3 linked regions of the Kluyveromyces lactis genome follow. The protein of the gene in region 3 interacts with the protein of the main gene of each other region in a pairwise test. Links are inferred from orthologs where the notes say so. Each region holds a gene or a part of one and is shown on either strand. Other genes may lie near its edges. The genes, in order: BRX1, CIC1 and PWP1.

The links.
Region 1: the proteins of PWP1 (region 3) and BRX1 interact in binary tests that used the Saccharomyces cerevisiae proteins (3 or more experiments, as listed by UniProt). The link is inferred for Kluyveromyces lactis from reciprocal best matches to the Saccharomyces cerevisiae genes PWP1 and BRX1.
Region 2: the proteins of PWP1 (region 3) and CIC1 interact in a protein complementation assay, tested with the Saccharomyces cerevisiae proteins (2 studies listed by BioGRID). The link is inferred for Kluyveromyces lactis from reciprocal best matches to the Saccharomyces cerevisiae genes PWP1 and CIC1.

The regions. Positions count from the first base shown.
Region 1 is NC_006041.1:1,574,335-1,584,546, reverse strand, and holds BRX1 (ribosome biogenesis protein BRX1), read right to left. Parts: upstream 5,814-10,212; coding exon 4,917-5,813; downstream 1-4,916. Other genes in the region: AVO1 (Avo1p), read left to right, coding at 1-1,903; KLLA0_E17821g (S10 family peptidase), read right to left, coding at 1,997-3,472; MDM20 (Mdm20p), read left to right, coding at 6,426-8,738; alpha-1,2-mannosyltransferase MNN2, read left to right, coding at 9,646-10,212. UniProt on the Saccharomyces cerevisiae protein: Required for biogenesis of the 60S ribosomal subunit.
Region 2 is NC_006042.1:2,029,435-2,040,142, forward strand, and holds CIC1 (Cic1p), read right to left. Parts: upstream 4,832-10,708; coding exon 3,701-4,831; downstream 1-3,700. Other genes in the region: KLLA0_F21802g (MATE family efflux transporter), read left to right, coding at 253-2,085; KLLA0_F21824g (transcription activator GCR1-like domain-containing protein), read right to left, coding at 2,285-3,115; ELF1 (Elf1p), read left to right, coding at 5,734-6,249; COX6 (cytochrome c oxidase subunit VI), read right to left, coding at 7,187-7,630; TMA22 (Tma22p), read left to right, coding at 9,682-10,284. UniProt on the Saccharomyces cerevisiae protein: An adapter protein that specifically links the 26S proteasome to its substrate CDC4 which is one of the substrate recognition subunits of the SCF E3 ubiquitin ligase complex. Required for turnover of cell cycle regulatory proteins CDC4 and GRR1.
Region 3 is NC_006041.1:1,731,894-1,743,061, forward strand, and holds PWP1 (rRNA-processing protein PWP1), read right to left. Parts: upstream 3,534-11,168; coding exon 1,815-3,533; downstream 1-1,814. Other genes in the region: KLLA0_E19471g (fatty acid desaturase), read right to left, coding at 1-479; UGX2 (Ugx2p), read left to right, coding at 1,028-1,585; glycylpeptide N-tetradecanoyltransferase NMT1, read left to right, coding at 4,123-5,466; NCW2 (Ncw2p), read left to right, coding at 5,969-6,571; UPS1 (Ups1p), read left to right, coding at 7,064-7,588; UGA3 (Uga3p), read right to left, coding at 7,976-10,021.

The sequences.
Region 1 (10,212 bases), about 160 kb from region 3:
TATGTACCATTCTGGTGATGATTCGACGTTGGATAAGGAATTGGATAAGGCCACCAAATTATTGCATATGGCCAATAAGGCTCCTAGAGAATCCCTTTCTCAATCAGAACCTAGAGAAAGTACCGGTGCTGTGGGGAAAAGAGGTTTGAATTTATCTCAGCCGGAATTGCGTTCAAGCGCTATGAAACATCGCAGCTCGACGTCAAGTATGTCAGAGTCCATCAGGTCAAGACACCTTTTGCCCATTGAAAGACATAGAAGGACTTCATCAGTGGCCACTCAAAGCAGCGTTGACAAAGATACAATAGAGCCATCAACAGAACCGGAGTTCGTCATTGAAAAAGTTGATGTTGGTAATAATCACCCACAAAGTGAGTCTACTCTATCAATTCTCTTCAACAAAAGCAAAACTACACAAATCAATCCCTTGGAATATTTCTGTGCCGTGTCTGCGGAGAAAGAACTTCGAAGTAACGCTTTAAAATTGGATGTTTACATTCAGGATTCCAAAACATATAAACGGAAGCCATTTACTATTAGTGTCAAGAAGACAGCAACCGTTTTTGAAGTATTGGGATATAGTTTATACTGTTACTCGACCGAATTCAAACCCCCTGATACGGCAGGGGAACTTCCGACAGATGAAATTAATAACCCCAATCATTTCACCCTCAAAATTGTTGATGAAGATGGTGAACCTTACGAAGATAATTTCGGAGTCTTGGAGAGAACTCAGCAGATCAACACAATATTTGATAATGAGGTTGTCATATGCAAAGTATTGAACGATGAACAGTTTGAACGGAATGAAGAAGAGACACCCTTACCAAGTGTCATGACCGATGACTTCGATCAAGAAGATAGCAATGACGGGCTGTCTCATCTCAATCAATTAAGTTACTACAAATCGATTATTCCCTCTAAGAATACACAAATGTCTGATTCTGGTTCTAACTATGTGAATATAAAAGTGTTCTTGTATCCTAATTTGAATCCTCAGTACAATTTCACAAACATCAGAATACCTGTGACTTCCAAGATTAACGAAGTATTAGTCAATTACTGTAAGTTGAAGAACCTCGATCCAACGGAATACGTATTAAAAATGGAAAAGAGAAATTTAATTCTTGACTTGAATGACTACGTTACAAGCTTAGATGGTAATTATAATGTGGAACTGTTGAAGAAGAAGGACGCAAGAACGAAAAAATTTGAAAGAATGAAAGCCGTTACCAATCAACCTGTATTACCAACAATTCAGAGTACTGAACTAACACCATTAACGCTAACAATGGCAAACGATAACAGATTGTTGAATAAAACTCTACAGGAAGAAGAAACTTCTGCTAACAGTGGTCGACCAACCTCGAACAGAACAAGCTCAAAGAATTTATTCAGTATCAACAAGCAGCATAACACATCTTCCTCTACCTCTGGCTTTTTTAAACTCAAAAATTCCTCAAAATCTTCTCTCAACAATGGCCAGAAATCTCCTAAACTTGGGAGTTTATCCAAACCATCAAATAACGTTTCTGGAAATAACAGTTACAAAGATCTCTTTGCTGGTTCCTACTATAAATATAAGGTATGGAGAAGACAACAAATGTCATTCATCAATAAACACGAGAGGATGTTGGTCATTGATGGTGACTACGTTTATATAAGTGGGCCTGATGGTGATTTCAATTGGACACACGAAAACGTCAAGACGAAATCGTTCCATATAAGCCAAATTACCCTGGTGAAAAGGTCTAAGCGCGTTCCAGAATATTTCAAGATTTTTGTTCACAGACCTGATAGAGAACGGAGATATTATTTCGAAGCTGTGTCGGCTGAAGAATGTGTGGAAATCATTACTAGGTTGCAAAACCTTATTAGAGTGTACAGAATGAATCAAAAGTGAACAATTGCGAAAGAAATGATAGATATGCAACAAACTGCATACAGTATATACCTCAGGGTGCTTGTATTTAAAATTAATTGTAAAGAAATATGCTTATATTCTAGATCTCTTTGCGATATTCTGAATCCATGAATTCACCATTTGTAATGAATTTTCAGGTTGGTCGTGAGGAACCATGTGTCCAGCATCATAGATTCTCAAGTAAGTTAGCGGGCCATAAGATTTGGTTTCGCCAATGGTCTCATCTGTTTCTTCACTCTTCCAAGTTCTCAAAACTTGTTTTTTATACTCTTCGTTATACCTCCATTCCAATTTTTCAGTCCAAGCGAGATTTCCTAGCCAATTACAAATATAATCCTTATCGCCTGCATATATCAAGACATTGATATCTTGATCAAGAAGTTCTGCGACGTACTGGTGGAATGGGCTCGGTCCATCGCCAGTGAATGCGAAACCGATACCGACATCCGAGCTACAACCTTGGAAAGAACTCACATCAGTCCCTAAAGCTCTTTGAACTTCCTCCTGATTCAAGTAATCAGAGATATAAATTTCTTCCTGATAACAGGCACCGGAATCATCCTCTGCTTCACACTTAGATCTAATATCGTAAGGGTTCCTACCTGATTTCTCATAAACCCCAGTAATCTGTTGTTCACAATAACGGTCAGCCAACACACAAGAGAAAACAGAATGGGACTTGTAACAGCGGTCCACAAGCGATAGGCATAGAGGTAGATTCCTATTCATATCTAAGCAATCTTCCGGTTCCAACACCGCTGGATAACCACCTTCACCACAGGCCATCGGCTCGTAATATTGGTATTGAGTCAGTGGGTCAGTAAATCCATTTCCAATTAATACTGACGATAGATTGAAGGAGGAATCCTCAGCATGCACTACAGCAATCTCATGAGCAATCTTGGGTAAATAATGACCGGCGTATGATTCACCGGAGATATGGAAATCGTTATTTCTCAAATGAGGGAATCTTTCAAAGAACAAATCTAAGAATATGTAAACGTCTTTGGCAGCGTCATCTGTAGTAGACACTTTAGAGTCACCGTATGAGAACCCAACACCAACAGGCTGATCTAGGAATATCACAGAAGCGTTGGAATTCCAAGAGTAGGGGTTATAAATGGGTTTCAAATCAGCTCCTATAGAAGAAGGTCCCAATTCAAAGAAAAGACCGACGAAAGAGGAACAGCCAGGACCACCGTTTAACCATAGTATCACTGGGTCATTCTCTGGGTCATTTCTAGACTCAAAAAACCAATAAAAGAAGTGTTTTGAGTCCTGGTAATCTAAATATCCCGACCATTGTTTCACGGTATCAACGCCAAGAGATTTGGGATCCAAAGGTTTAATTCTCAATGAATAAGCGTCGTCAATATTTGAGCTGAAGACACTAAACTGAGTGTTATAATTTGCAGTTTCATGATCCTCGATGTTGTTATTCCCGTCGAAACTGTTCGAGAATAAACTATCAACAACGGCATTCAACGAGATGGCTAAAGTGACAGATAGCCAGCCGTATAAAGATAAAAGAAACTTTATCGAAACCATGGCAGACACCGATGTACTGACTACTACCCTGAATATACGGCAATGGCAGTCTGTAGACCAAATACTAAGGAGATGATGGAGTAAGGGTCACTGAAAACCCTTTGTTTTAAAGAGGACTATTCATATTTTCGAAGTCAGTACATTCGATACGATCGGGTAACCACCAATACTATTGGCGGTAATATATCATGAATTTGTAGTTCACGTGATATTCACGTGAATGGCCGTTTTCTAATCTTTTTCACCTTCCGCGTCATCTTAGAAAGCATGCTCGAAGAGCCATGAAAATGTCAAGAATAACTCACCTTCTAAGAGCCGTTGAATTGTCGTATTGAGACCATTATGTGTCCATTCTATTGTCTTCCGTATCCAGTTGACAGAATTCAGCAGTAAACATACGTTAAACTGTGTGTACTCTCTGGTTTTTACCAGTTTTATACGAGCTGCTCTTACATGATTGGTCCAGTAAACTGTGTGAGGTGTATGGGTGTGTTGAAGAATATGCTACGTCTGTTTCTGAGCGATTTACTCTTAAAAAGCGTGTAAAGCAGGATTTCCTTTCTCAAAGCTGAAAAATTTCAAAGTTTCGAATTCTTCTCACTAGAAAGAACAAGGCGGTTTTGAGCGAACTTTTGCACTGGATCAGATGCGTTATTAGTGGTATCCTATACACCTTTGTTCGAGATTCACTCTGTTAGAATATAGACCAAGAAAATAATTTGATATACGATGAGTGCTGCATACACAATTTTGGGTAGAACTGTTCAACCACATCAATTGGCCCTAGGGACTTTAGGTGCTGTATTATTGTTGGTTATTCCAAACCCATTCAAGTCTAAGCAACCAGCCAAGCCATTATACTCTACTTCCTCTAAGGGTGAGGAAGATTTCATCAAGGCTTACTTGGAAAAGCATACTGCCAACGCTGAAAAGCACTAAAGATAAAAGTCAGGACATTTTTACTTCCTTATTAATTCTACCCACTTGACTGTTCAATTCACGTTTCCTGAAAATTATACAGTATGATTTGTTATTACTACGCATAACATCTTCGTATTTGGGGAATAGAAGAATGCAATGGCATTGGGCAAGTAAAATATTAATAAATCTATTAAAATTCAAACAAATGATAAAAAAAACATTTCAAACAGCACACTGTGGTTCACACCAAATGTAAAAACGTTTTCCCCATGACGTTTCATGACGCTTCAAGTTTAACTGGTATTCTGGCCCCCCAAGTTAACTAAATAAATTAAATATTCATGTACGACTTTAACGTATAGTATAGTTAGGAATAAAACGAAAAATTATATTATCAAAAACAGCCCATTCAAAAGCATATATATAGGAGTATACATATGTACAAGTCTGAGCAGGAAGAACGCCGTTCTCCTAAGTTGACAATATATAAATCATGATTTTTTCTAGAGTTCTGGATTGTACTTTAATCTTTGAACAATGCATCGTTGGATAATGGATCTACAGCCAAGACACTTTCTCTCTTCTTTAGTTTCCTTTCAACAGCAGCTTCGGCTCTGGTCTTAGCTTCCTTGGCAGCCTGTTGTTTAATTTGAGATCTAACGAAGTTTGGCGATACGTATTGTCTGTTTTCGTAGATCTTTGGACCACCAAATGAACCTTCAAGGATCAAAATCGGTGTCATCACGAAACGTGGGCCAATTTCAACTAACGACGTTTCATCTTCTTCTTTATCCTCATATTCAACGTTGTTCCTAGCTTCATGCGAGATCTCATACGTTCTTACCCAGATCTTTTCGTCAACTATACTGAAAGACATGATATGGTCAATGAATGGCTTGGACTTTCTAGCTTGAGGTGGTACACCGAAGTTATGGATAAAAAGTTCTTTAATTAAACGGTAGTGCGGTTCAGAATCAAATCTACCATCAAATGACAATATTGGTCTGGATCCCTTCAAACAGTTGCCAGTGAAGTTTAATTCGTCCATGGTATGTAGGTTCTGCAAATAAAACTTGATTGTTGGTCCATTTGGTGGCTTTGATAGCCATAGGTACAAATCCTGGTGCTTTCTAGCTTCAAAGAATATAATGTTATTACAGTTGTACAATTCCGCAATCTCATTCAATTGTCCTAGATCCTTCTTCGTGTCCAACTTAGGTTCCTTTCTCGAATGTGGTAGAAGACTGTTCAAATCCTGAACCAAATGACGATGTCTATAAGTAACACCTCTGGACGTAATAAGTAAGGTACGTTGCTTATTCATGAACTGTTTCTCATTACTGTCACTGTTAGCCGCATTATTTTTGTTCTTCTTACCGTCTTTATCCTTACGAGACAAAGTCTTGAAAATACTCGACATTATAGAAGGATTTGCTTAGCAGTTCTTGGCTTTTTCTTCCTTCCAACTACTCAAGTGTAATACAATAATCTCAAAGTGTTTAGACCGACGATGTATAGATTGGAAGGATCAGGACAACCTTGTTCAATACCTCTTCTCATCTCATCTCATCTCATCTCATCTCATCTCATCGCCTTTTCTAACTTTTCAAAAATTTTCAATGTACCGAAAAAGAAACTAAGGCTCATCAGTGATGATTTAAAATAGAAAAGGATAGTTTCTCGAAAAGAAAATGTTCGTATCGTCTGCCAACTGGCTTCTATCAGATTCAACGCGGGTGGGGATTGTATGGTGAGGTCTTGCGTTTATATTTCAAGCAGTAAGAGCGCTGATGCCCTTGTTAGGCTGTGCCGTTTACATTTATGGATACACATACAGTTATAGTTTATTATCCGGGTAATCAAGACTGAAAAATTACGATATTGGCTTAATTCAGCATTCAAACTTCTAATGAACAACCTCATACGCACGTCGTTCGTAGAACAACCCGGTATGTCTGGCAGTAACGGTGTTCGTTGCTGTTTGATCTGTTAGATTTGATATCGACCAACACGAAGAGTGGAAACTGTTGATATGAACTCTGAAGATCATCAGCTTTTTCAGCTATTAGATAGGGAACTGTTTAAGAAAGCTTCACAGTTTGTTGCATCATTGCAGAAACGGTACCCATCCGCCACTTATTACAAAGTGTTAGAGCAATATGTCAAGTACAGGCAATCTCCTGCGAAATATAGTTTTGAAAATGGGTTAAAGTTGATCTTGGATGCCAAATCTCCTCCAAGCGATGCGAAATCGCTATCAATGTGCCATCGATTTTTGTTGGAATTAGGTTTTGACACCACCAGTGCATTGGAACCTTATGAAAGAGCAATGATGAAATACGGTAATTCGGAGACATGTTATGATTGGTTCTTGGAGTCATTGAGGGATTTAAATTGGAGACATTTGAGTAAGAGTAGTTTCCAGATGCCACGAGTCAATGAAAAATCGAAATCGAGATTGTTCCAATTCTGGAACAGTATTGCTACTGTAGTATGGTTTCAGTTGGATAAAGATAACATTAACGAAAGGGAATTGGATCTTTTACCTAAGTTGACATATAAATTGACAAGCGATTTGAAACCTTTTGAGAATGAGCAAGAGTTGATCGTTTTCTGTAAAGTTTGTGAATTGTTTGAGGATAAATCACAGGAGATCGTGGACGAGATCCTCAAGTTTTGGAAACATGGTACTTACTTAGACCTTTATTTGAAAAACTTCCTTATGGGCCATTTGGTGAAATTAGACGATTATAAACTCATTTGGAAACATGGAATCTCGTTATTGAATAACCTTGACGATTATGGTATTTTGCAAAAGATTATAGATGCAAGTTACAAACTTGGCAAGTCATTCGATGAGTTATTGGAAGTTTTGGAAATCAAGAATACGAGAAATTACATACTAGCAAGAGTCGCAGCAGCAAAACTTTATGACGATAGGCTAGATCACTACCTGTTTCAGTTCATCGAGAAATATCATGATAAACCTAGTTGTCCAATCGATCTTCATAGCTTGGAATTGAACCCAGTGAAAATCGAGACCATGTTTTCAAAGCTGCCTTCGGGGCTGATACACGACAAAGCTGTTGCTCAATTGTTCGGCAAAGGTGATAATTTGGAATTGTTCTTGAAACATAAGGAATCTTTGTCAACAAAGCCAAAGACAGATTACTCTAACTGCTCGTATTTCATCCTTGAAATCGTGAAAGACCTATGCCAAGACTCCAAAGTGAACTTAGAGAACGTCATTACGTCCATTTCGCTCTTGGAAGGTTACCAAGCAGAAGACCCCTTCAACTATGACACCAGGGTATGGCTTGTTCTCTTATACATGTATCTGGGATTACCAGAGAAAGCCATTGCCCATTTGGAGACGTTGAACATCAAGAATGTTCAAAACGATTTGGTAAACCACTGGCTCTTCACACGTTCCTCGACGTTCCTGCCTAACAAGAACTACAAGTATTGTCAAAGAAGCCTACAGCCACAGGCGATCTATTCATCGTTAAAGAACATGAGTGGGTTCCTAGTTGCCTCATTTGAACGTAGAAGTTGGTGCAAAGTACCTGGAATCGTAGAATTTTACCAGAGGATCTTCCAATCGTTCACCAGGTGGGACGCTATGGTGGAAACGTTGCAAATGTCCAGGCTATTGAACGAGAAGAAACTTGACCAATACAAACCACTCATTGAGAGTTTGAACACGTTCGGCGAAAACAACTTCCACAACGAAAACTGGAGCGATAACAGAGATTTTGACATTTTTGGTACAGACGATGTGACCCGATTCCAAACGGTGCTTGCACCAATCCACGTCGGTACCAAATGGTTGAAGATCAGCATTACAAGAGAGTTGATCTTCTACAGCCTAACTAAAAACGAACGCAATAGGTTCATCGACGATACACTCGTTACCACAAACGATGAAGAGTTGCGCGAATTGATGTCTCAGCACGAACTATGGACCTGGCAACTCATCAAATTACTCTACAACTCCCTGGAAACAGAGGCCATAGACTACAAGGCCATGGCGATGCTAATAGAACAGTGTCCAGAAATCAGCAAGTCTACATGGGAATTGAACCATAGCTATTTAATCACCTTGGCAACGTTAAAGTCACTAGACCAAATGAAACGCATCAAGGACAAAAGCGTCAAGCAACTGATAAAGACCAAGTTAAAAGAGACAAGAGATACTTGCGTCCCGATGTTCAAATCGTACGCTGATATGGTCCAATCGGTTGGTAACGGCAACAAACTACTGGAAACGGTCTCATACTCAAAACTAACCGGTGACATTGCTACTGAAATCACCCAGATGTCAAAATCAATCCGTAACATATAGGGAACTAGATATCCTATACATACTAAACACCTGAGATACCAGGCACGTGTTACGAACGAGACAAAAGGAAAAAGAAAAACGGTTGCACAAGTTTTCCCTAAACGGTGCGCGAGCCTGCGAAGAAAGGTACGAAAAAGGGCATCGAGATATCAATAGGAACTGGGAAGATAAAAGACTTATCATTACTAATGACTTTGCACAGATAAAGTTGGAAGTAAAAATCCCCCAATTCACTCCTGTACTCGGTCTCCCCCCTGTACTGGAAACAAGACACGAAATAAACCGTAAACAGTGTATAATGTCATAGGTAGGTACGTAAATAAGGCATCAGGGTTCTGCACCGTCCGATTTTCCACGGCTGTAAATGACATTCCTTCGGCTGGAGATGTCAAATCTTGGCTCTGCTTAGTTTTAGCAGCAAAAAATCTATTTTTGAAATTGAAAAAAAAAAAACATCAACACAATTTCTGTTATATAAAGGCAAATGACAAAAAACAGTAATGTTATGGCGATCTTTCGTGGAGTTAATTGTTTAAAAGCGCGTTTTTTAATGCGTGGTAAGGTTGATATTTAGCTGTAGGTACAGGTATTCTCATACAATCCACGTTTCATCTTATTTGTGGTTTGTTCCTGTGTTGGATTTTAAGGGTCCAATACAAATTTTTTTTTGTTTTGTTGTTATTTAGAAACTTAACTGACAAGTTGTTTTCAATTTTGAGGTCGATATTCGAGTCCTTACGCGTTCGCTTTGATTATTGGCTTTGTTAGTGGTTGGCGAGTGCTTAATACACTTTTTTTTTTGTTCTTACAGCGTTTCTCATCGATTGAAATAAGAAATAATACGGGAAATAGTTGCCAAGCTCATCAGACGGAATAACATTCATCAAATTTTTTTTTTACGTCTGTTATGGTGTTTACTACGAAACGTTTCCAGAAAGTGTTCAAAGTGGTTGTTGCGTTTGCTTTAGCAGTCGTGGTGTTGAACAGTATCCATGTTTATTTGAAATCTGAAATTGCAACCAATGATTATACAAGTTCATTGAAAGAGTATACCCAGCAGTTCATTGAAGAGTATGAGGATACAGGCTCTTCGTACGATGATGCGAGACAGGAAGCGAGCCAACAGCAGGGTGACAAGCAAGGATCACAGACCAATACCAATGGTGATAGTAATAACAAGATCAATGGCGATAAAATAAAAAATAATAATAACTATTATAACGAAAATAATAATGATGGTGTTGTAAAGGATAACGTTGGCGCAAGTTCTACCCCCAGTTCAAAGAAGAAACAGGTCCAAGGGTTTTATGGTCAAGTTTTCAAGTATTTGAAGGAATTTGGTCCTGTTGGAGTTAATATTGCTACTTATAACCAAAAATGTAGTTTGAACGGTGATATTGGGTATAGGCAAGAGAACACAGACCAGTGGTGGAAACTTACCACTGAAGAGTTGAACAACTGTTTGCAACTTTCT
Region 2 (10,708 bases), on a different chromosome or scaffold from region 3:
AACCACTGCGGACAGATCTTTAAGAAAGGGACTTCGGTAGGTGATCTAATTTTTTTTTTTGAAGAAACTCTTCCAACTTTAGGAACCACCTTAATTTGAACTCTGGTTTATCATAGTGAAGTAAACTACTTTGGACTTACTAATAATCGCTAAAATCTCATAACTTAATTGGCTCTCATCCGAATAGAGACCAGTACAACCTTGAGAAGAGTTTTCCCCCTTTTTCTCTAGTTTTTTAATACCCAAAATCAAATGTCTAAGCAATTCAAGCATACAACCCAGGAGAGAAGATCTTCCATAATTTACTCGAACAATAATGGTAAAGGCGGTCTTTTCTCTCCTCAAGATTATATTTCGGGAGACAAGACTCAAGCATTTATAGACGACGATATTAGCGAAGATTCAGAGGATTCTCTTTTCGCAACCAATAATTCTCGTACTTTACAACACGAATATGGTTCTACAGGCCGAACGGGAAGCAGTGATAGTAGTGAGATTCATTCCGCCTTACCGAAAAATCTAATACGAGAAGAACGGGATCTATTGATGGACAATAAGCTGTACAATTCTAATCATGCTCTTCATAATCATGCTGCATATTCAACAAATGATCCAAACTCTTCCTTTGCACCAACATCATCAATCGAGGATCAAGAAGTGATTGAAACTTGGGAGGATGCAATTGAATCAGGGAAAGACATAAATACCACATTTAAGAGAGAGGCCATAGTGATAACATCTAATGCATCACCTCTTGTACTGACTTTCATTTTACAAAACTCTTTATCTTTAGCATCAATTTTTTCCGTTTCACATTTGGGAAGCAATGAATTAGGAGCTGTTACCCTAGGATCTATGACAGCGAGTATCACTGGGTTTGCTGCCATCCAAGGGCTCTGTACTTGTTTAGACACACTTTGTGCCCAAGCTTACGGTGGTAACCACTATCACTTAGTTGGTGTGTTGTTTCAAAGATGTGCAATTATCACGATCATTCTTTCTCTACCTGTTCTCTTCACATGGTGGCAATGGTCTGAACAGATACTTGCATTATTCATTCCAGAAAGAGAACTATGTGCCTTAGCTGCAAAATATCTTCAAATTGTTTCTCTGGGGATTCCAGCCTTTATCCTATTTGAATGTGGTAAAAGATTCTTACAGTGTCAAGGAATCTTCCACGCTTCCAGTATTGTCCTTCTCGTTTGTGCTCCCCTTAATGCATTGATGAACTATGTTTTAGTGTGGGATAAAAATATTGGAATAGGATATCTTGGTGCACCTATTAGTGTAGTATTGAATTATTGGTTAATGGCTCTTGGGTTGTTTGCTTACACTTTATACACGAAAAATGAAAAAAATCCCATGAAATGTTGGAATGGATTTATCAAACCGCATCAAATTTTGAAGAATTCACGAAAGATGTTCAACTTAGCACTGCCTGGTATTATCATGGTTGAAGCTGAGTTTTTGGGTTTTGAAATTTTGACTATTTTCGCATCTCATTTAGGTACCCATGAATTAGCCGCTCAATCAATTATTTCGACTATCGCTTCTCTTGCCTATCAAGTCCCCTTTTCAATTTCAATTTCGACATCGACTAGAGTTGCAAACTTCATTGGTGCGTCCTTGTATCGAAGCTGCGTAATTACTTGCAAAGTGTCATTATTACTATCGTTTATTATTAGTTCGTTGAATATGGCAATGATTTACAAAGCTAGATACCTAATAGCAAGGCTTTTTTCCTCAGAACCCGATGTTGTCAGATTGGTTTCTAGTTCGTTACCAATCTTGGCCTTCATGCAAATTTTTGATGCATTTAATGCTTCAACTGCAGGTTGTTTGAGAGGCCAAGGCCAACAAAAGATAGGAGGATACATCAACGTTTTTGCATTTTACTGCATAGGTATCCCAGTATCATATTTGCTAACATTTCATTACGGATTTGGTGTTAGTGGATTATGGTGGGGTATCACTTCTGGTTTAGTTTTCATGAGCATTTTCCAAAGCTATGCTGTATTTCATTGTAATTGGAATGATATTATCCGTGCAGCAAAGTCTAGAAATAGCGAAGGTGCCATGGTATAACGTCTCTGAAAAGACCACATATCGACTAAATACCATCGTACATTAATAAATTAGGAAGAAGGTAAACCCCATTCAATGCATCTTATATTGAACTTTTCATATATCATTATCTGTTTATTTTTTTGTTGTTTAGATATAAAAGATTTAACAGTACATCTTCTAGTTGAAGGATTGAGTTGTCAGCTGTTTGCTAATCATTTTATTGTACAATACCATACTGTTCCAAAATTTTGGCTAAATTATTATATAACCATGGTATGGTTTTATCATTTTCCTCAACAATACCTTGGAAGTGTTCGATGGATTGCTCAACGGTTATATTTTTGCCCTTTGCATATTTGTTGATAGCATTCACCAATGCGCTGCGGCGCTGATAAGTTCTCAACTTGGGTAATTTAGACAATTGACCTGCACCATGTTTCTCCTCGAAATGCAAGATCTGAAGCTTTGTATCTGTATAAAACTCGTGGTAAAGGTCATGGACGCTTTTGGGACAATCTGTCATTATAAGGTGATAGTTCTCAACATTGTTCAGATCTTTTGCGCCGAGAGGTCTGATTTTGCTCGAGTGTTGTGATTTCGCTACCTTGTACCTTGATGGCATTTCTCGCGATGCGTTCTCCGCTTCTCTGCTGAGACTACTGAAAAGAATTTCATTTTTAAATTCTTCTTTGAAAACTTTTGGCCCTTCCGAAATGTCAGCTTCAGTCTCATCAATTCCAAGTAGAGGTAGAGGATCTTCATTCTCTTTATTTACGTCAAAATCCACTTCTTGTTCCTCGGTTAAAAACTGGTTATTCATATCCAAATCATGAGCTAAAAGATGTGTTTTAATGATTCCTAAATCAACAATAATCCCAGTATGCTGTTGTTGTATTAAATCTAACTTAGATTTTAACAGGGCAATTTGACCATTGACACTTTGACACTTGCTATTACACACTGCGTCGCATAAAACGTTCCAATCAGTTTGTAAAGTGTCTACTCTGCTTTGGAATGTATGAATTATTCGTTCAATATTCTGTGGCATCTCATTTGATTCTCGGCGTCTTCGCAATGCAATCAAAACTTGAAAATACTAATTGATTCAGATGTAAATAATAGTGTATATACTAAACTACGAATAAGCACGAATAACAGAGGTGATGATGTGAAAGTTTGTGAAATCTGTGGTTTATATAATATTTGACATATGTTTAATATAGTAATTAAATCTTTTTGTGACACTTTTATTTTTCGTTTTTCCTTTTCCTTCACTGACTGCATGGACGCACCAGTCCACACAGAAAAACCAGCAAACCTAAATGTGGCACATCAGAAAAGTTGTTCGAGCGGCGATGGGTTTGCACCATCCAAACAATACTAGGAATAACGTTTTCCTGCTGGTTCGAAAACGCACTGAATTTAACTACTGTTATTCTTTTATGAATTGCAAAGTATCGATGCTATCTGGAAAATTTGAGTACAGATTAAATACATTTTGTAGGGAAAACTATCATTGTAGGAGCGGTGACAGCCGTTAAATCTATGCTAAATGGGTAAGTTTTAAGACGATATTTGTGAAGGATAGAAATTAAGAAAGAGGAATGAAAAAAAACGCGATACTCCTGTACCTCTAATTTTTTACGTTTTTATTCTTTGTCTTTTGTCTTTTAGCGCTGGATTTTTGTTCTTTCGTTTGCTCTTTCTTTTGTTCTTCTTGCTCTTCTTCTGCCTCGACCTCTTCCAAGTTTCTTTTGGCTTGCTTAATTTGCGTAGCAAACAAGGAGTCTAGTTCGTCTGGATTTGCAATTTCTAACAAAGATTTCTCAAATTGTGATAGTTGCAATTCGACACCATCAATTTCTATGACATTTTGAACGGAAGTCTTAGCATCATGTCTGGACCCAACCAATTTGTCTAATACTTCCAAATTAACGTATAATGGAAGGACTGGTGATTCGTTAGATTTGAGAAGAATGGTTCTGATATTGTACTTTTCGATGAACTGTTTAGCGACAGAAATGATATTTTCAGTCAATTGTTCTGGGGTGAACCATTCCAATGAACCTAGATGAACATTCATCGTGTTACCTCTTGGAAGTTTGACTGGGATTTTAGTATCATAAATTCTCTTGATGCTATTTACCAAAGTTGTCTTGTTAAACTTGTTATCCGATCTTGTGTTAATGGCAATTGGAGTGGTATTCAACTTACTGTATGCTTTACCACCTAATAGCTTGGGCAAAGCTGTCACTATCGAGTCATCAGCTAGAATGAAAGAAAAATCCTGTACAAATGCACGCCTCTTTTCAAAAGCCTTGTATTTTGTCTTCAAATCTTTACCAGATATGATGGCATCAATAGTAATATGTTCTGGAAGTAGATCGATCAAGTCTTCTGATGTCACTGAATTGATATCAGAATCTTTTAGAATCAAAAGAGTCTTGAAATCTTTAACCATGGTGGTGCTAGCTTCCTTCCATGGCTTGAAGATAGAATGAGGAACTGTAATTAGTTTTGGTTTGAAGTTTTTCAAAGAACCAGTAAAAGATTCAGTGTTGACTAGGATCAACTGTAGCTGAGCCTCCAATTCAGAATCATCAATTAACTGATTGTCATTTGATCCATTTTCCTTCAAATATTCTTGCAATTTAATAACAGCATTGTTAACTCTGTTAACTGGAATGACTTCTTCCTCTTTACTGCCCTTAGTAGCCTTGGTGGCTTTGGTCGAAACCTTGCTTTTCTTAGTTTTAGTTGCCATATTATCTAAACTTTGATATTGCTTATAATGTGCTTGTAGATATACTAGACTGGATGAGTGGAGTTATTTCCTCTATATTCTGGATTCTTTCCAAGCGTTTTTTAACTTACTTGATTCGCACTGTCTCAGAAAAAGATCAACAAATTGTTGGTTCACCTAGGTAAGCTTACTTCTCGAGTTCGTACTGGCAACTATGAAATATCCAGTATATATCTAATCAATCCTTTGAGCTGAGAAATAAGAATAGGTACTTAAATACTTTACATACCATTACTTTATTAATCGTGTTAGGTGTGCAACATACTTCGAGATGAGATGAGATGAGCTATGATGAGATGAGCTCTCTATTGTCAAAAATAAAAATTTTCTGTTTCGCAGGAGCTCCACTGTGTTCACGTAGTTAGTAAATATTGCTTTTTGAAAGCGAAGGCCGTAATATATGATTTGAAACTTTTCTTGAAATTTGATAACATTTGACACTTAAGAAATAAAGAGTAACCGAATCTGATATTGAATCTCGGTGCGTGTTTGTGCAAAAGTTACTAATGAGCAACGGGCTACGTTCAGTGAATGGGGTTACAATACAAAAGGGCTTAAACTGTGTATTTTAGGGTTTCTTTCTCTGGTTTATTTCGGAACAGTACTATTTTTGAGTTAGGTTTTTTCGGCTGTCAAACAGGACTCACGATCGATATAAAGGATACCTTAACAGAGAATACGCCGCACGAATCTGATTTATGAGTTATTAAGTTGCTATTATTATTATTATTATTATTATATCGTAAACATAGTCATCGTCCCCGTTCATTTATACTGCAAAAGGCATATTAGCATATATTAATCAAATCTAGCCGCAGGGGTAAGCATACGCTCTCACAAGACAAATAAGAAGAGCATTAGACATGGGTAAGAGAAAGAAGTCATCCAGAGGTCCAGCCAAGAAGATAGTACAGAGGTTAGATACGGCATTCAATTGTCTCTTCTGTAATCACGAACGCTCTGTGAGCGTAACAATGGACAAAAAGAATAACATTGGCTCGCTTCATTGTAAGATTTGTGGACAATCGTTCCAAACCCGCATTAATGGTCTATCACAACCGGTAGATGTATATAGTGACTGGTTTGATGCGGTTGAGGAAGTTAACGAAGGGAAACATAGCGAATCTGAAGATGAAAACAGTGACAGTGACTACGAGAGTGACTCTGATACTGAGCCTTCTTCAAACCGTAGAAAAGCTGTTGGAATAGATTCTGACGAAGAAGAAGAAGAAGAACAAGAAGAAGACGAAGATGCGGATTACGGAAGAAAAGGAGCGACCGAACGAAAAGACTCAGAACCAGAATCAGACTCAGACGATGACGGTAAAATATCTAACAAAAGAGGAAGAGCAGCATGGATGGACAGTGATGACGAGTAGTCGAACCGACAGAAACACAGACATCGAACACCAATATTAATCTTACAATTGTATCTATCTATCTATATATTACCCAGAGATATACTAGTAGAACGAATAAAATCAGGTATAAAGGAGCTGATATTTACGTTCAAAGAGATTGCTGGATCTTATCTGTTTCCTATAAGAATTTATATAACGCTCACCTTGGCTTTAACCATCGGTTGATAGTATTCAGTTTGTACTGCAGAAGAATTTATATATCAATTCTACATCAATAATAGTATCTTTGGTATATCGAACTTCTCAGTAATGTGGCATTATTTCTGAACTAGATGGTGATACACGAGATAACAAAACTCGAAAACTTCAGTTGTATGAATTCAAACAAGATAAAATTACTTCTGCTCGTAACGGTGCAATAACCTAACATACGATCAAGTGAAAACAAAAGAGCACATTTTTCTGTCTACCGCTAAATAGACTAAACGCGTATGTTAATAGCTGTTTGTTTGATATATAACTACTTTTCCTTATAATTTAGTCAGTATAACATATATATAATTATAATAATTGTGATGATGATGATAATAATAATAATAATAATAATCTTGATTTTATTTGAATTGTTTGTAAATGTTTCTTGAAGGTTTGTATTCACGGTTCTGTATATGTCCTGGCAAATAAATAATGTCTTCGTATCTGCTACTACCAGTAGTCAGCACCAAAAAAACCTCCTCAAACAAACAAATGTGTGACAAGAATATATGGTGTCATAGGATGGGACACGTTCGTAAATATAGTTTTTGATGATATTTATTTTGGTTTCATTTGGTTGTTGGTGTTGTGGATAAGTATTGTTCTTTCCTTCCTAGTGAAAGGTTCTCAAAAAGTGAAAATAGTATGGGAGAAGATGATAAAGCCGGTGACTTTAGATTAAATGTTCTTCTATATGCACTTATTGGAACAATTCCTCCTTCAAAGGAATTCCCAATTCTTCTCTAACATCCTTCAATTCATCCAAGTAAGCCTTGTATTGATCTTCGTTTTCAACTTTGTATCTCAAGGCTTCGAACACTCTGACAGCAGTTGGCAAGTCGTTAACCTTTCTGGCGGCTCTCAAGGCCTTTTCGATAACAGCTGGGGCTGGAACCAAATCGTAAGAGAAACAGTTATTCAACACTCTTTGGACTTCGAATAAATCGTAAGCCTCTTCGAATTCCTTTTCGTATCTGGCGGTGAATTCTTCAAAGGTTTCTTCTTCGTGTGCATCGGAGTACTTTCTGATAGAAACAAATTGAGATTGTAATTGACCAACTCTTGGGGCAACAGCAGCTCTCATCATAACCGGAGCAACGGCTCTTACTGGCATAGCAGCTCTCAACAAAGTTCTGGACAACATATTTTTCTTTGTATTGGTTGATTCGGGATTTGGATTTGATTCACTGTATTAAGATGATCAAATAGCTATTCTAAAAGGAATTATAACAAACCGTATTCACAAAAGATTCAAAGTCGAGTTCTATTGTAATTAAAACTTAATGTAAAACGCTTTAAAGATATATCAAATAGGTTAGGTAAAAGGTAAATCGACCGATAATTTTCTCTGGAGTTTTTTTAAAAATTTGAAGTAATGAAGAATGAAAAAAAAAAAATTAAATACTTAAAATCGCATAGGACAAATATCAACAAACAGTTCAAATACTTAAACTAGTGGATAGCTACGTCTTTGAACTAGATAAAAACGAGATTGTTAAAAGGAAAGTAAGAGTAATAACTTGCGAAACGAATAGCACAAATTTGAACCTCGAGTGAGTCGTTCCATTCGAAACAACTTTTATTGTATCTTATTCTTTGTATGCATCATCTTCTTAGTAGTTTACAAAAAAGTGGTATTATCAGTTTTTTAAATAGTGTGTCTATGGAAAATGGATGGAAGAAAAAAAGAGGGCTAACATAATTCATCGGCAGAGTTGCAACAAAAGTTCACACTCCAAAAAATCCTACATGTGGTACTTACGAGCAAGTCGTTTATCTAGTTCGATTTTAATTATTTGAATTGAGTATTTCTTGACTTTCTGCTGCCTGTCATTTTTCAGTCGAGCGATGTCAGATTAAAGATCTCATGTTCAAAGGAAATGAAACCTTAACTCTCATAATCTTCGAAATAATGTCCTATAAAACAAGATAATAAGTCCGTGATAATAAACCCCACAAGCAGTATCTATAGAATCCAATAAAACACATTCGTGAAATATGCTGGGGGGTAATGGGCATTGATTGAGACTGGTCCGACCGTTCTGTAGGGTGTCTTGTTTGTGGGGAAGGAGAACGTATTGGCATATGATTGGTTCGTCACCGATGATTTTTACCACATAGTCGGGTAATAGGACAGCGGGAGAACGTGACTTCAATACAAATACAATTACCCGGAAGTCGCGTGGTTTCAAAGGTTTTTTTTTTCTCGGTAGGCAGGTTCCCCTGTTCGATCCCTCATCTCCGCAGAAAACTGCGGGTTATTATGTCTCTAAACGCGATAGTTAATCCTCTATATCGTCAAACGTTGAGATAGGTGGCATCGCGGTCTTGATATGTTGCATCAAAGCCGTATGGTTTGGTTCAGAGTTTGTAGACCCCTCAACTATTATTCGGGTATGTCCATTGTCAAACACTTTTCGAACAGCAGGTTTTGAATCATCGTCGATACCTGCACCAGCCTCTTCATGTCCCGTGTTACGATTAGGCCATTCTTCAAGCCTAGAGTAATCAAATCCCGGAGGAGGTGACGCTGGCGGAGACACTAGAAATAATGTCTGGGCAGGGGGAACTTTAAGGTGATTCATCACAGTGTCAGCGCCAGCGTGTGGAAATCCAGCTTGTGAATTCGATTCAGCCACGTGATTCGTGATGGAGAACCCAAATTTACAATCAGGGAATAATGGGTTCAAGGATTTCACTTCACGGCTCGCCTCAATATTAGGCGATGTTACCAATATTCTCTTGAATCCAGGAAGTGTAATGACACGCACGGCATCCGCACCGTAAATCTGTCGAGTATCCACCACACATTCTTGCACCTTATTTACGATCTCATCAAACAAGGGCTTGGAGCACACGTCCTTTGTCTTTGACGTTATTATTACAGTATCAGTAGCAAAATCATCATACGTTGCCATTCCAAAGAAGTGTATTCAGTGTGAGTGTAACCAAAGTTCGCCGCTATTTGTGCATGTCTAAGTAAACACTTAGTATATGTAAGTAGTAGATTACGTAGTTACTGAAGAAAGTGAATCGATCTTTACAGTGAAATATTGAAAAAAATATTGAAACAGAAAATCACTAATGCATGAGATGAGGTGTGTTCAGAATAACATTACGTGTAATTAAGTTACGCTTGATTCAGTTTGAGATTTATACGTTAGAATTAATTAAAGAGACAGAAGAATATACAGAATGCCTCTCACTAACGTTATATACTGTGGTGTGTGTGACTTTCCTGCTGAATACTGTGAATTTTCCGGTAAATTCAAACGTTGTAAAGCTTGGTTACAAGAAAACCACCCAGAATTGTACACCAAATGGTATGGCGATGTCACTGAAGATGTGTCTAAACAATTGGCAGAATCATCTATTGGTGATGAAAGAGAGGAGAAGCTTGAAAAGGCCCTAGAGAAACTAGAAAGAAAACAACAGGCTAGAGAGGAAAGAGAATTGGCTAAGAAATTATCGTCTAAAGTTGTGATCAGAAGAGAAGCAAGAACAAAACGGAAGTGTATGATTGCTATCTCTGGACTAGAAGTTTTCGAAATTGACATGAAGAAACTTTCCAAAACTTTTGCATCCAAATTTGCTACAGGTTGTTCTATCTCCAAAAATGCCGAGAAGAAAGAAGAAGTGATTGTTCAAGGTGATTTGGCAGATGAAGTAGAAGCATATATACATTCTTTACTAGAGGAAAAAGGTATGAAAGAAGTTAAGGTAGAAGTAATCGATGCCGCGAAGAAGAAGAAAAAAGCTGAAACTACAACTACACCAGGATCCGAAAATAAGAAATGATTATGAGAAGCACATTTAGCTGACACCCTTTTGTCATAACTTTATGTTAGCCTCTTAGGTAGAAAGATTTATATAATACCGCATTCATCGTTCAACAAACTGCACAATTAAACATCAGTAAGATGCTATATCTATACCCTCATATATAATAACTGTAGTAGCTATTAGGTTCCCATAAATATACTCCCATGGTGAGGAAGGGCAATACCTTACAAAAGAATATCCGGGTAAGATCACTTTTTCTTCACTTCCACTTCCATTATGCACCGTTAGATGGTGAGGAAACATGTCAAAATGTAAAATAAACTAAAAGCTATTTTCACCGAGCACAGAGAGTAAACAAGAGAAAGAGCCTTGAGTAATACACTGAGCACTCTTGTATTTGCTTACCAATTGGTTGAATCACGGAAGCATTCGGAAGTCA
Region 3 (11,168 bases):
ATTTTCTTCTCATATGCTTCTTTCAAATCAAGAGATGGTACAACGCCTTGAGGTATTTTCGGATAAATCTTCACCTCAGCTTCACTTGCCAGCCTATCATTTTTAGGTATCTTAGTGTATTGATTGGATTCATCGACAGATCTCCACTTCGATGTGAGATTGATGTCATAATCACCGATGTCGTCCCTCTCATCAATCTTCGAAAACCTACCACCTTGAATCGGAGGCAGCATATTCTCCCATGGATAATCAATGCGGCCAATTTTCCATATCTTAAATTTTGTTATGGTCTGATCGTCATGGTATGCATTCATCTCATCGGTCGCATCGCGACCGATCATATGATAAATAGATTTGTCACCGCCAGGGTGAAACTTGATCCATTTATCCAGGTTCAGGACCGAATCTTCATATATTACAATCGTCTGGCCCTTAGCAATCCTATCAGCGATATCTCGCCTGCTCAAAACTCTACTCATACTGTAGTCTTTTAGCTCTTGACGCTTTCAAGTTCAGGATTCGATGATTTGATAAATAGTATCAACGAAAACAGGTGGCTTAGATAGTTAATTTTCTTTCCATTGGGCTTGTGTACCTGAAACACAATATTATATCTACTTGTACTATAACTATGATTGCATTGAACTGATATGTTAAAACCGATATACAGCTATTCTTCGTTTGCATATTGTACGTGGCTGTTTCATAGATCACCATATACATATTTGAATATTTATTCTATCTTACGGGCGTTATACTGTGGTGTACTTACTGAATTTTCCGGGTAACAAATATCATGAATATTCCCCTTTAAACGAATGAGAACCAACTGTCACGTGATAAAAAGTCTTTTGTTCCCGATGATGTAGTTTAGAGGTTTAAAGAGTCAGGCATAAAACCCTTGAAATATAAAGAACTGGTATCTTGTTATGAAGCCGAATGCAACGGTGTGTTGAGTTATATTTTGTCTAAAGTTTATCCAATCTGCAGCAGATCTGAACATTACCCAATTACTTTGTGTTTTTCTATGAGGGAGTTTTATCTATCATCTAGCATGTTGGCTAGTGAAACAGGGATCGCCTATGAAGTCAGTGACAGCTACGGATCAAGAAGATATGATAATAATGGCAATAGTTCTTCTGAAAGGATTCAGTATGTGATTTCGATGGCTCATTCACAGGGTTTTGATTGGAATCAAGATTTTTTTGCTACTAGATACGAGCAAATGTGTCAAGTTGTGTATGACGGTCATGTTGACAGCATTGAATCGGTAATTGAAGGGTTAAAATGCGAGGAAGAGGCAGTTACGGAAAAAACTAGTGAAAACGAAGATGAAAATATGGATCATGATGGCAGGCCCATTACTCTTTCCTCCAAAGACACAAATACACACTACCGTTACTCTCCGCAGGTTTATCGAAGGATCAGTGATGCTTTTATTAGACCAAGACGTAAATCCGACAGAAGTATATCATTTTCTGCTGATAGGGAACAGGGAAACTTTAAACGTACAGAAGTGACCGTTATCGATGTAGAATCAGAAACTCTGGAGAACAAACTCCTCAAAAGCCTTGTAAGATCATAATTTGTAAATTTCGTTGGCAGAATGTCTCTTTTTTATTAGTACATGTTCATACAGGATATATACGCCGCCGAAAATGTATTAATGGGTAAGTAACCTAGAAAGGACGTACTATGTTGCAACTAGTCTAGAGATTTTTGACTGGAGGTTCATTTTAATTCTGTTTTATCCTTATAGAGAATTAGGAATATGCATTATATATTGTACAATAGTGAAACTGTGTGACGAGAATTTAATCTTCATCTTCTTCGTCGTCTTCTTCCTCATCGTTTTGATCCTCCACAGTGAGCACAGTTTCTGGGTTGTCGTTTTTGGTATACTTTCTAGCGATTCTTGAACTTTTCCCCAGAGCTATGGCCTCTTCTCTTGCTCGTTGTTGTAAGGTTTTAAGCTCTGGTTGGAAACTCTTTCTAACAGATCTGTTTGTGAACACATCCCATAATTTTAGACCGGGGCTCACACCACCAACAACCATATTACCTGCAATTTCAATATCTGGTGCGAATGAAGTGGTTAATACATTTCCTACACCGAAATCACGACTTAGTACCATGCTTGGACCTTTACCAGGCTTTGCGTCTAATGGACATTTCCATAATTTGACAGGTTTTTCACCCATAGCACTGGTTAACAGCATATTTGGAATATGTCTGTTGATTTCGACAGATGAAACACCTGCATCATGAGCCTTCAAAGTCCAAACTGGCTTAGATTCGGCACCATTTCTAATATCAAAAGAGTACACGTTACCGTTATCAGTACCGCAAATGAAGATGTTTTCATCAGCAAAACGGACACATTCGATTTCCTCTCCGGATGAAACGTTCCAGTATTTAGACATATCGTTGTCGTTTTCGATTCTCACATCGGACAATGCAGCACGAGAATCGTAACCAGCAGTCAATAACACAGAACCGTTTGATGGATGCCATTGCGATGCTGACACATTGGTATTTGAATGGATGTTGATTAACGAACGAGCGGCGGTTGCTGTGTTTAAATCCCATAATTTGACAGTATGATCTGCTGATGTAGAGGCTAAAACTGCTCTGAACTGTTTGTTATGTGCTAGAGATAGGATGGCATCAGTGTGATGTGTTGTCACATGTTTGCTTTTGCTCTTCTTCTTCTTTTTTGATTTAGTTGGTAAGGCGATAGAGTTATCTGTTGGTTCACCAAGAATCATATCAGGGAAAGCCTTATCAACACAATCCAAATTCCAAATCTCAATGGCAGGATCGAAAGTACCCACTGCAGCGAAATTTGCAACAGTTTCATCACTGTTTGAACCTGGCTTGTAATTCAAACATTCAACACAAAGTGGGAAGGCTGGTAACATAAGGTCGTGGTGTACATACAACGAAGAATCACGAACTAAACCACGCGCCACATCAGGATCTTGTTCATCACCCTTTTCTGATGGAATATCCGAATCGTGGAACCCGGCACCATCATCGTACACATATACGTCCAAGTAAGAAACGTCATCTTCAGTTCTGGTAGCTAGGACCATGTTATCAGTCGGATAAACTTGTAATTCTTGCTTCTCTTCCACGTCATCCTTTGATTTTGGAAGGGAAATATAAGGATCTTCACCTTCTTCACCCTCGTAAAATTTGACTTCCTCGGATAAACCCATGAACATGGCATCTTGGGCGTTGGCTTCATCTTCTGGATCATCGTAATGCTCTAAGTCGAATTCTTTCAAATCGTCATCAACTGCCAATTGGTCCTTCAATGCGTTACCATTAGTAGTTGGCTCTTCCACTTCTTCTGTAACTTCTTCACCTCCTTCTTCAGCTTCCTGAGCCTCTTCTAAATCATGTTTGGCCTCATCTAAATTCAATTTGGCCAACTCGTTAATCCTTTCCATCTCTTCATCGTTAAGTTCATATTTCTCAGGAAATTCACTCGCGAACCCTCTTGGTACCCACGAAGTAGCAGACAACATGGTGATACTTCCACTTATCAAACAAATACACTGATTAATTGGTATATAAGAACACCCTGTATCAATACAAACAGCCTATAAACCATAAACCAGTCCCAGTTTTATCAACTACCTATCTCATCTCATCTCATCTCATCTCATCTCATGTTAGAAAATTTTCGAATCGCTAACCTCGAAAGAAAAAAGAAAGTAGATGGATTCGACCCCTGTTGAAACAGCGCAGACGGAAAGGAATAAGGTGTTAATGGCATCTACAACTGCAGTTAAGCCGCAATTATAAATCTCAAACAATTAAGCCCTTATGATAGTTGTCATAGCAGCTTGATGATCTTGAATCGAATGTTCTCTATCATTAATATGTAATTTTGTTTGCAAAATGTGCGACTTGATGACACCGCTCAGGTTAATCTGAAAAAAAAAAACGTTGAGCTAGGATTTGTCAATATGGGAAACGACATTTGAAACGACTTCAAAAGAAGTACAATAGGCGATACAGCGGTTGACTTTTGTTAGTACTGCTATTGTTGCCCCGATCGACCTTAAGGTAGCTGCGAACGCGCGTCTTTTCCGCTGGAAATAATATATCACAATGTCTGAAGAAGATAAATCTAAGAAATTGGAAGAGTTGTTGAAACTTTTGAAGGTCCATGATGGTGATTTGTCGAAGTTCACCTCTCAACAACGTAAGGATATGAACGAGTATAAGTTCTGGAAGACTCAGCCGGTTACTAAATTTGATGAAGTGATCAAGAAAGAGGGGCCTATTGATTCCAGTAAGAGACCAGAGGATATTCCAGACACACCCTTGCCATTATTGGGAGATTTCGAGTGGTGTACCGTTGACGTTAATGACGAAAAACAGTTGGAAGACGTATACGTGTTATTGAATGAGAACTATGTCGAGGACAAAGACTCTACCTTCAGATTCAATTATTCCCGTGATTTCTTGAATTGGGGGTTGAAACCACCTGGCTGGAAAGAGGAATGGCAAGTCGGTGTCAGGGTTAAAGAAACCAAGAGACTTGTTGGTTTTATCAGCGCTATCCCAACCAACTTACAAGTTAGAGGTAATGATGTGCGTAGTGTCGAAATTAACTTCTTATGTGTGCACAAGAAGTTGAGATCAAAGAGATTGGCGCCAATTTTAATCAAAGAAGTTACCAGAAGGGTGAATAAGTACGATATTTGGCAAGCCTTGCACACTGGTGGTGTGGTTTTGCCCTCGCCAGTCAGTTCATGCCGTTATGCTCATAGACCACTAAACTGGTCAAAGTTATACGACGTTGAGTTTACTGCTTTGCCAGCAAACGCTACCAAAACCCAAATGATTGCTAAATATACTTTACCAAAGACTCCAATCTCTAACATTAAACTAATGGAGGAAAGACACGTTGATGAGGCCTTTGAACTTTTCAATAAATACCAGCAAAGATTTGAATTGAGACCAAACTTCGATAAAGAAGAGTTCAGACATTGGATCTTGACCAGAGAAGATGTTGTATATTCCTACATTATTGAAAACGACGAGGGTAAGGTGACAGACTTCGTCTCGTTTTACTCCTTGCCGTTCACGATCATCAACAACCCATTGTACAAGGATTTGGGAATTGGTTATATGTTCTATTATGCTTCTGATGCCGACTTCGGATACGACAGATTTAGCGCAGAGGGCACAGAAAGATTAAGAAAGAGATTGAATCTGTTGATCAACGATGCATGTATTTTAGCTCGTAATTTGAAAATGGACGTATTCAACGCTCTAACTTCCCAAGATAATGCGTTGTTCTTGGAAGACTTGAAGTTCGGGCCTGGTGACGGGTTCTTAAACTTCTACTTGTTCAATTATAGATGTTTCCCAATCACTGGTGGTATCAAGGAAGACCAGACCTTTGACGTGGAAAAACGTAGTAATGTTGGTGTTGTCTTACTGTAAATAAATGTTTAAGATATTTAAAAAAGATATATTCTGATATTGTCCGTTGAAACATGCAATGTGGGTATGTAGATTTAGAATCTCAATGTCACATTTCATTATGAAATGACGGCAGGTTTCAGTCACAAATTGGAAGAGCATTTAAAAGCCTAATAGTCAGCTTCTTAGAAGAAGTTGCCTCGATGTCCCTTCAAGAAGGAGATCATCATTGAGGCATTATACTCACTAAATGATAAGCCTGCTCTGAGAGGGCATCTTAATTCATTATTCAGCCTCCTCTCTCATTACTACTTGAGTTTTACTATGCTGGGTTTTAATTAAAGAAATCTGAAATTAAAGGCTGTACCTGCCGGCATAAGAAAAAAATGGTATTTAGGGAAACGTTGAGGTGATCAGTGAACGTAAAGGTATATAAGCAGCAGTATCTTGGCGAGTATCTACCAACCTTAATTCGACTTTAATGTTAAAAATAGCAGATCTATAGCGGTAATCCAAACTGACAATGACAATGAATAACAGAATTATTGAAATATTAGTGACACTTTTCTTCCTACGTATTGCCAGTGCAGCAGTTTTAGGTTCTCTAGATGATGATGCACAGCAATCTGAGAAACAACCAGAACAAGCAACAGCCTCACAACAACCAGAACAGGCAGCATATTCGCAACAAGAGACTACTGGCTCCTACGTTGCTGCTGCAGTTGAAACCGCTACTACATCGGCAACGACCAGTAATACTAATCACGTGACTTCCCAAGCAAGTGTATGGGCAGAGACCTCAGCCAGCAATACAGTTTCAGTAGACAATACGCTGGCCACGTCAACTAGAAACTACGATGAACCAATAACTATACTCACCACCACAAATTCCGCAGGTGAAACGTATACATCTAAGATTTGGTGGCTCCCCTCGTCTTCCCTTACTGAGACTGGTTCGACGACAGCTACTCTGTCACAATCGGCAAGCAGCGCTTCGTCAACACAGACAACTGCTTACGTAAATAGCACTAACGGAGGTGCTTTCAATATGAACAGGGACATGAATCAGTTTGGTTCATCAAGCAACTTGGTTTACCTGGGTGCAGCTATTGCATTGATAATATGATAGATGCTAGGCATACATTTTATAGAGCAGTATATAGTTCAATATTGGAGAAGCCAACACTTTGACATAGATCGTATCTCTTGCAGGTAGAATCGATGCACTTTATGCATCGTCTCAACCAGAACCGTTACCAGCGGTTTTCAAATATTCATCGTAATTCCGGACAATGGACTCGTTTAGTCAGTGATTAGGGTGACGGCTTGATTGTGTGACTGAATAAGCGAATGCCTTTTTTTCGGTCTTCATGTCGGTAGAAACTGAAAAAAAAAAATTCGAAATACGGAAAAAAGCTTGATAGTATTTATAAGATGGTGATACCTTAGTAACTGGTGATGAATTAAAGTCTGCTTTTGGATTCACACTTGTCATTAACATTCTACTATTTCATATTACATTTAAGCCCACCGGAACTAATTGAGGTAGGGAGATCAGTATCAAGGTTCTGGCAACTATCATTTCAACGTTTTATCTTTTAACCTTTCGATTGTTCCGATGGTCCTCTGGCATAATAATTCACATACGTTTGGAAATTCATTCGATGCTGTCACCATAGCATTTTTTAACCGATACCCAAACCCATATGCCTCTCATGTTTTGAGTATCGACACTCTTTCTAGACGTGTCGATGATGATGGGAGACTTATATCTATTAGATTGATTAAAAAGATGGGGAAGCTTCCCAATTGGGTGAAACCTTTTCTTGGAAAGATATCTGAATCCTGGATCATTGAACATTCAGTGGTCGATACCAAGAAGGGAGAAATGCTGACTTATACTAGGAATTTAGATCATACGAAGATTATAAAAGTGGAAGAATATACTAGGTTTGAAAAAGACGGGAATAGCACTCAGGTGAAATCCATGGTCAAGTTCAGTAGTGGATTTGGGATTGGGATTAGAAACAGAATCGAGAGCTGGTCACATAGCAAGTTCGATGAGAATATTCAGAAGAGCAGGAAGGGCATGACTTTCGTTTTGCAAAGACTGGATCTCTCGTTAAACAAAACTTCGAGCTGAAAACGGTTTATTTGGCCTATTCTCCTTCTGCTTTCCAGTTATTTATTTGCATTTACTACCATACAAGCATCGAACAACAAACAATATATATACTAGAGACATGGACTCTCAATTTACTTCGTCGGGTTTATCTTTTAACCTCCCAGGACTTTTATTTATATCACAAGAAGCAGAGCAGATCAACCAGTAAAAAAAATGACGAGCTAAACGTTAATCACATATTTATCAATATACCAGGGCAAGTTCCTTGTTAGTATTATTTGATCTCATTATTGTAAATAGTCTACTTGCTTTGAAACTAAATCGTTTATTACATATTTGTATATTATTACATTTGATCTGAATCTATATTTATGACTGAACCGAGAATGGGTCACTCCCTTTCTCTCAAGCAAAACTTATATCCCATCCGATATCGTCACAAATATCTATCCAATCACGTTCTCTAACCCCCGAGGACCCTATAGATTCTCCTTCGTCATCCATCTTCCAGACATTTTGCATAATGTCATGTGCACGAACCACATTACGACATTTGTAAGTATCAATGTACCGTATGAATTTATCCTCAATTATGGCCCTATCCTGATCCAAACAATTGATCCCACAGATGAACATCGGAAAACATAGCGACGATTCCAATTTAGTTCCCAAGACAAGATCTAGCTTTGATAGTAGCGTTTTCGTATAAAACACTATTTCAAAGGTATTGTTTTCAACCTTCAAAAAATTGATCTTTAAATGTATTAACGCCGAAAGTCTGAAAATCTCAAAAAGGTGTTCGGATAGCTCCCTATAGTTTATTTCGTCGTCATTCTCTTCTGTACAATGCGATAAAATGTCAAGACCATTTTCATCTGGCGTGAGATTTAATAACTGTTGGTTTAGTTCCAAGGCATTGAACATAATAGTCTTGAAATTCTGTGAAGACACGTTCAATTTCTCTGATTTCATTTGCCTTATCAGATTTGTAGTTTCACCCAATACTTTGAAAATGGGCCTATTCAACAAATGTAGGGAATCGACTTGTAAATTGCAATCAGTGAAATTTGGGTTTGAAGATAATAATAACGTTTCATATTGGTTCATGGGGAATTTTGTGGTCTGTGAACCCATGATATCATGGTATATGAAATTCGCTAATAACCAATTTCTGGTCATCAAGTCGATGGCGTCGAACTTTGAACTGTTATCATCCGTCAATAACGAAATCAAATTCGAACCACCAATATGTTCTTTAATCAATTTGGCACCGGTTTGTAGTAAAATCTGCCATCTATTAACGTCCCCTTGACATATCTCTGCCCCACACAAGACCAAAATTTGAGCCAAGGAATATAAAAATGATGATGGCGATTGCTGGTGCTGTGGTTCATATAAACATTGTAGCGACTCTAATGTGTAATTGTTGGCCAACTTTGAGAAACGCGAGTCTCTATCTATTATAAGTCGAGTGGAAGCACCACCTTCATCCAGCGCTGGCACAGATTTAGAAATGGAAAGGTGATGAGCAGCCCATGCAAGAATACCATATAGAATCCCCTTATGTTTATGTGCCATAGGAAGGAAACATTGGAGATAAAAATTTTGCCTTGCTGGTGCAATACAAATCACCTGAGCTAAATGATCACGATAATAGTTGTAAAGATGCAGTCCCGTTGCATCCAGTTCCATCATTAGTGGTTCTGTTAAAGGATGTGACATGTACGGATCAGGAAACTGGACTCGTTGCAATTTCACTATATCTGTACCTTCCTCATTCAGTTTTCCAGCATTGATGCTGGAACTTGTATTCCTCTGTAGATCTTGCAAAAAGCTAGTTTTATTATCATCTACAAGAGCAATAGCCGTAGTATGATCTATATCTTCAGAGCCGTCGTCCTGCTGAGACTCTTGACTTTTATCTAGGGCACTAAACCCTGGTGAAAGTAATGAGCCCATATGTTGAGGGTAAGATCCATCAGATTCAATCTCAGTAAGTACCATGTCCAGCATGGACGGGCTCATTACAGGCAATTTAGGAGACGGGTGTAAATGTGAATGGGAGTGGGAATGGGAGTTTGACATAGCCATACCACTTGACATAAAACTATTCAAATGAACTCCGACCGCATCCACTGCCGCAGTAAAAGGAGAATGTCCATTTACCAAAGTCGAAGAACCAGCTGCAGAAGAAGAGTCTCTGCTAATAGACATCACAGCATTTACCTTGAGTTTCTTCTTCTTCAATTCAGTTTGTAACCAAACTTTATAAGCTCTTATCTGATCTTTAGTCAAATTGTCCGGAAACACACAATCCAAACTGAGCCTTGCACAATCTTTACAAATTGGCCTATCCTCTGAACACCTTTTCTTCCGTACTTTGCAAGTAAGACATCCTTTCTTCGAATGACGCCTACGTTTAGGCTCTCCTTCCGAAAGATCAACAGCCATCTTTTTATCGTTCGATCAGGATATACTGAAAACTGTGGGAAATCTATCGATTAAACAGCAACGTAGTGTGCCCACCTATACACTTTCGAACCAATCAGGGGTCGGTGCTAATGGAATAAATAAGTGGTTTTCAGTTGAAGCAAACAAGCCCGAGCAGTTCTGATTTACTATAAAAGACGAACCACTCCGAGGCTAGAGGTAACCAAATTCCACCTTACGTCTGTCTAATGACATTCAGATTTCATTTTTCACTTCCTTCTTTCTTTTTCATGCTCCACTTGGATACTTTAACTTCAAGCCATCAAAAAGCTTTTTTAATCTTCTTAAAACAAATAATGAACGACGACTCAACTTCAACAAAAGAGGTACGAGGGACCATTGGAGGCAGAATTCCCGTATACTAGCTCATGATGTACTGTAACTTATTCTGAATTTACATGTAGATATCAGTGACATAAGTACGTAAATATATACATGTGGTACCGGGTGTAGAAGTAAAACGTACCCAGTACTCGGAGGTATTATACGAACGGGTTCTCGAATTCCAAGCAGAACCGCATGTAGGAACGCATGCCTCATATTTAGGAACAACACATTAGGGTTTGAACACCATTCTCTACGTTGGAATGCATTGATCAAAAATGCATGAGTCTGGGTAACGCGTCAAGGTACAAGCTTGTTACCCGGATTCATACCGGCTGACGTAATGTATATCATTCACGTGATCGATGATTACCTCCCTGTTCTTCTTCTTGTCACCAGCACTTCTCACCCACCTTCGTCCCGCTGCCAGCAAATTCGAGCAACCTCGATATGATTGGTCCGATTAGATCGAAACTGACTTGGCCCCTAAACTCGGAGAGTGGGGAACCCAAATCCTTTCTCTTATCTATACGACCGGGTAACGTAATGTCACTTTGCCTGCTTACACCATCAGCAACGCACTGTAGCCCCTCCTCCCCTTATCAATCCCAAGTATGCCTTTTTGTTTTTTCTTCTGCGGTGTTTTCTGAAAAAAATACGTTTGGGTCTGAAAACTACGCCATTTTCAAGCTCGAAAAGAGCTATTCAAAGCACGTTATTCAGCAGTCATCTTTATTTGACTATCGGTTCATCCCGTGAAAGCTGGATTCCATCTAGTGCAGTC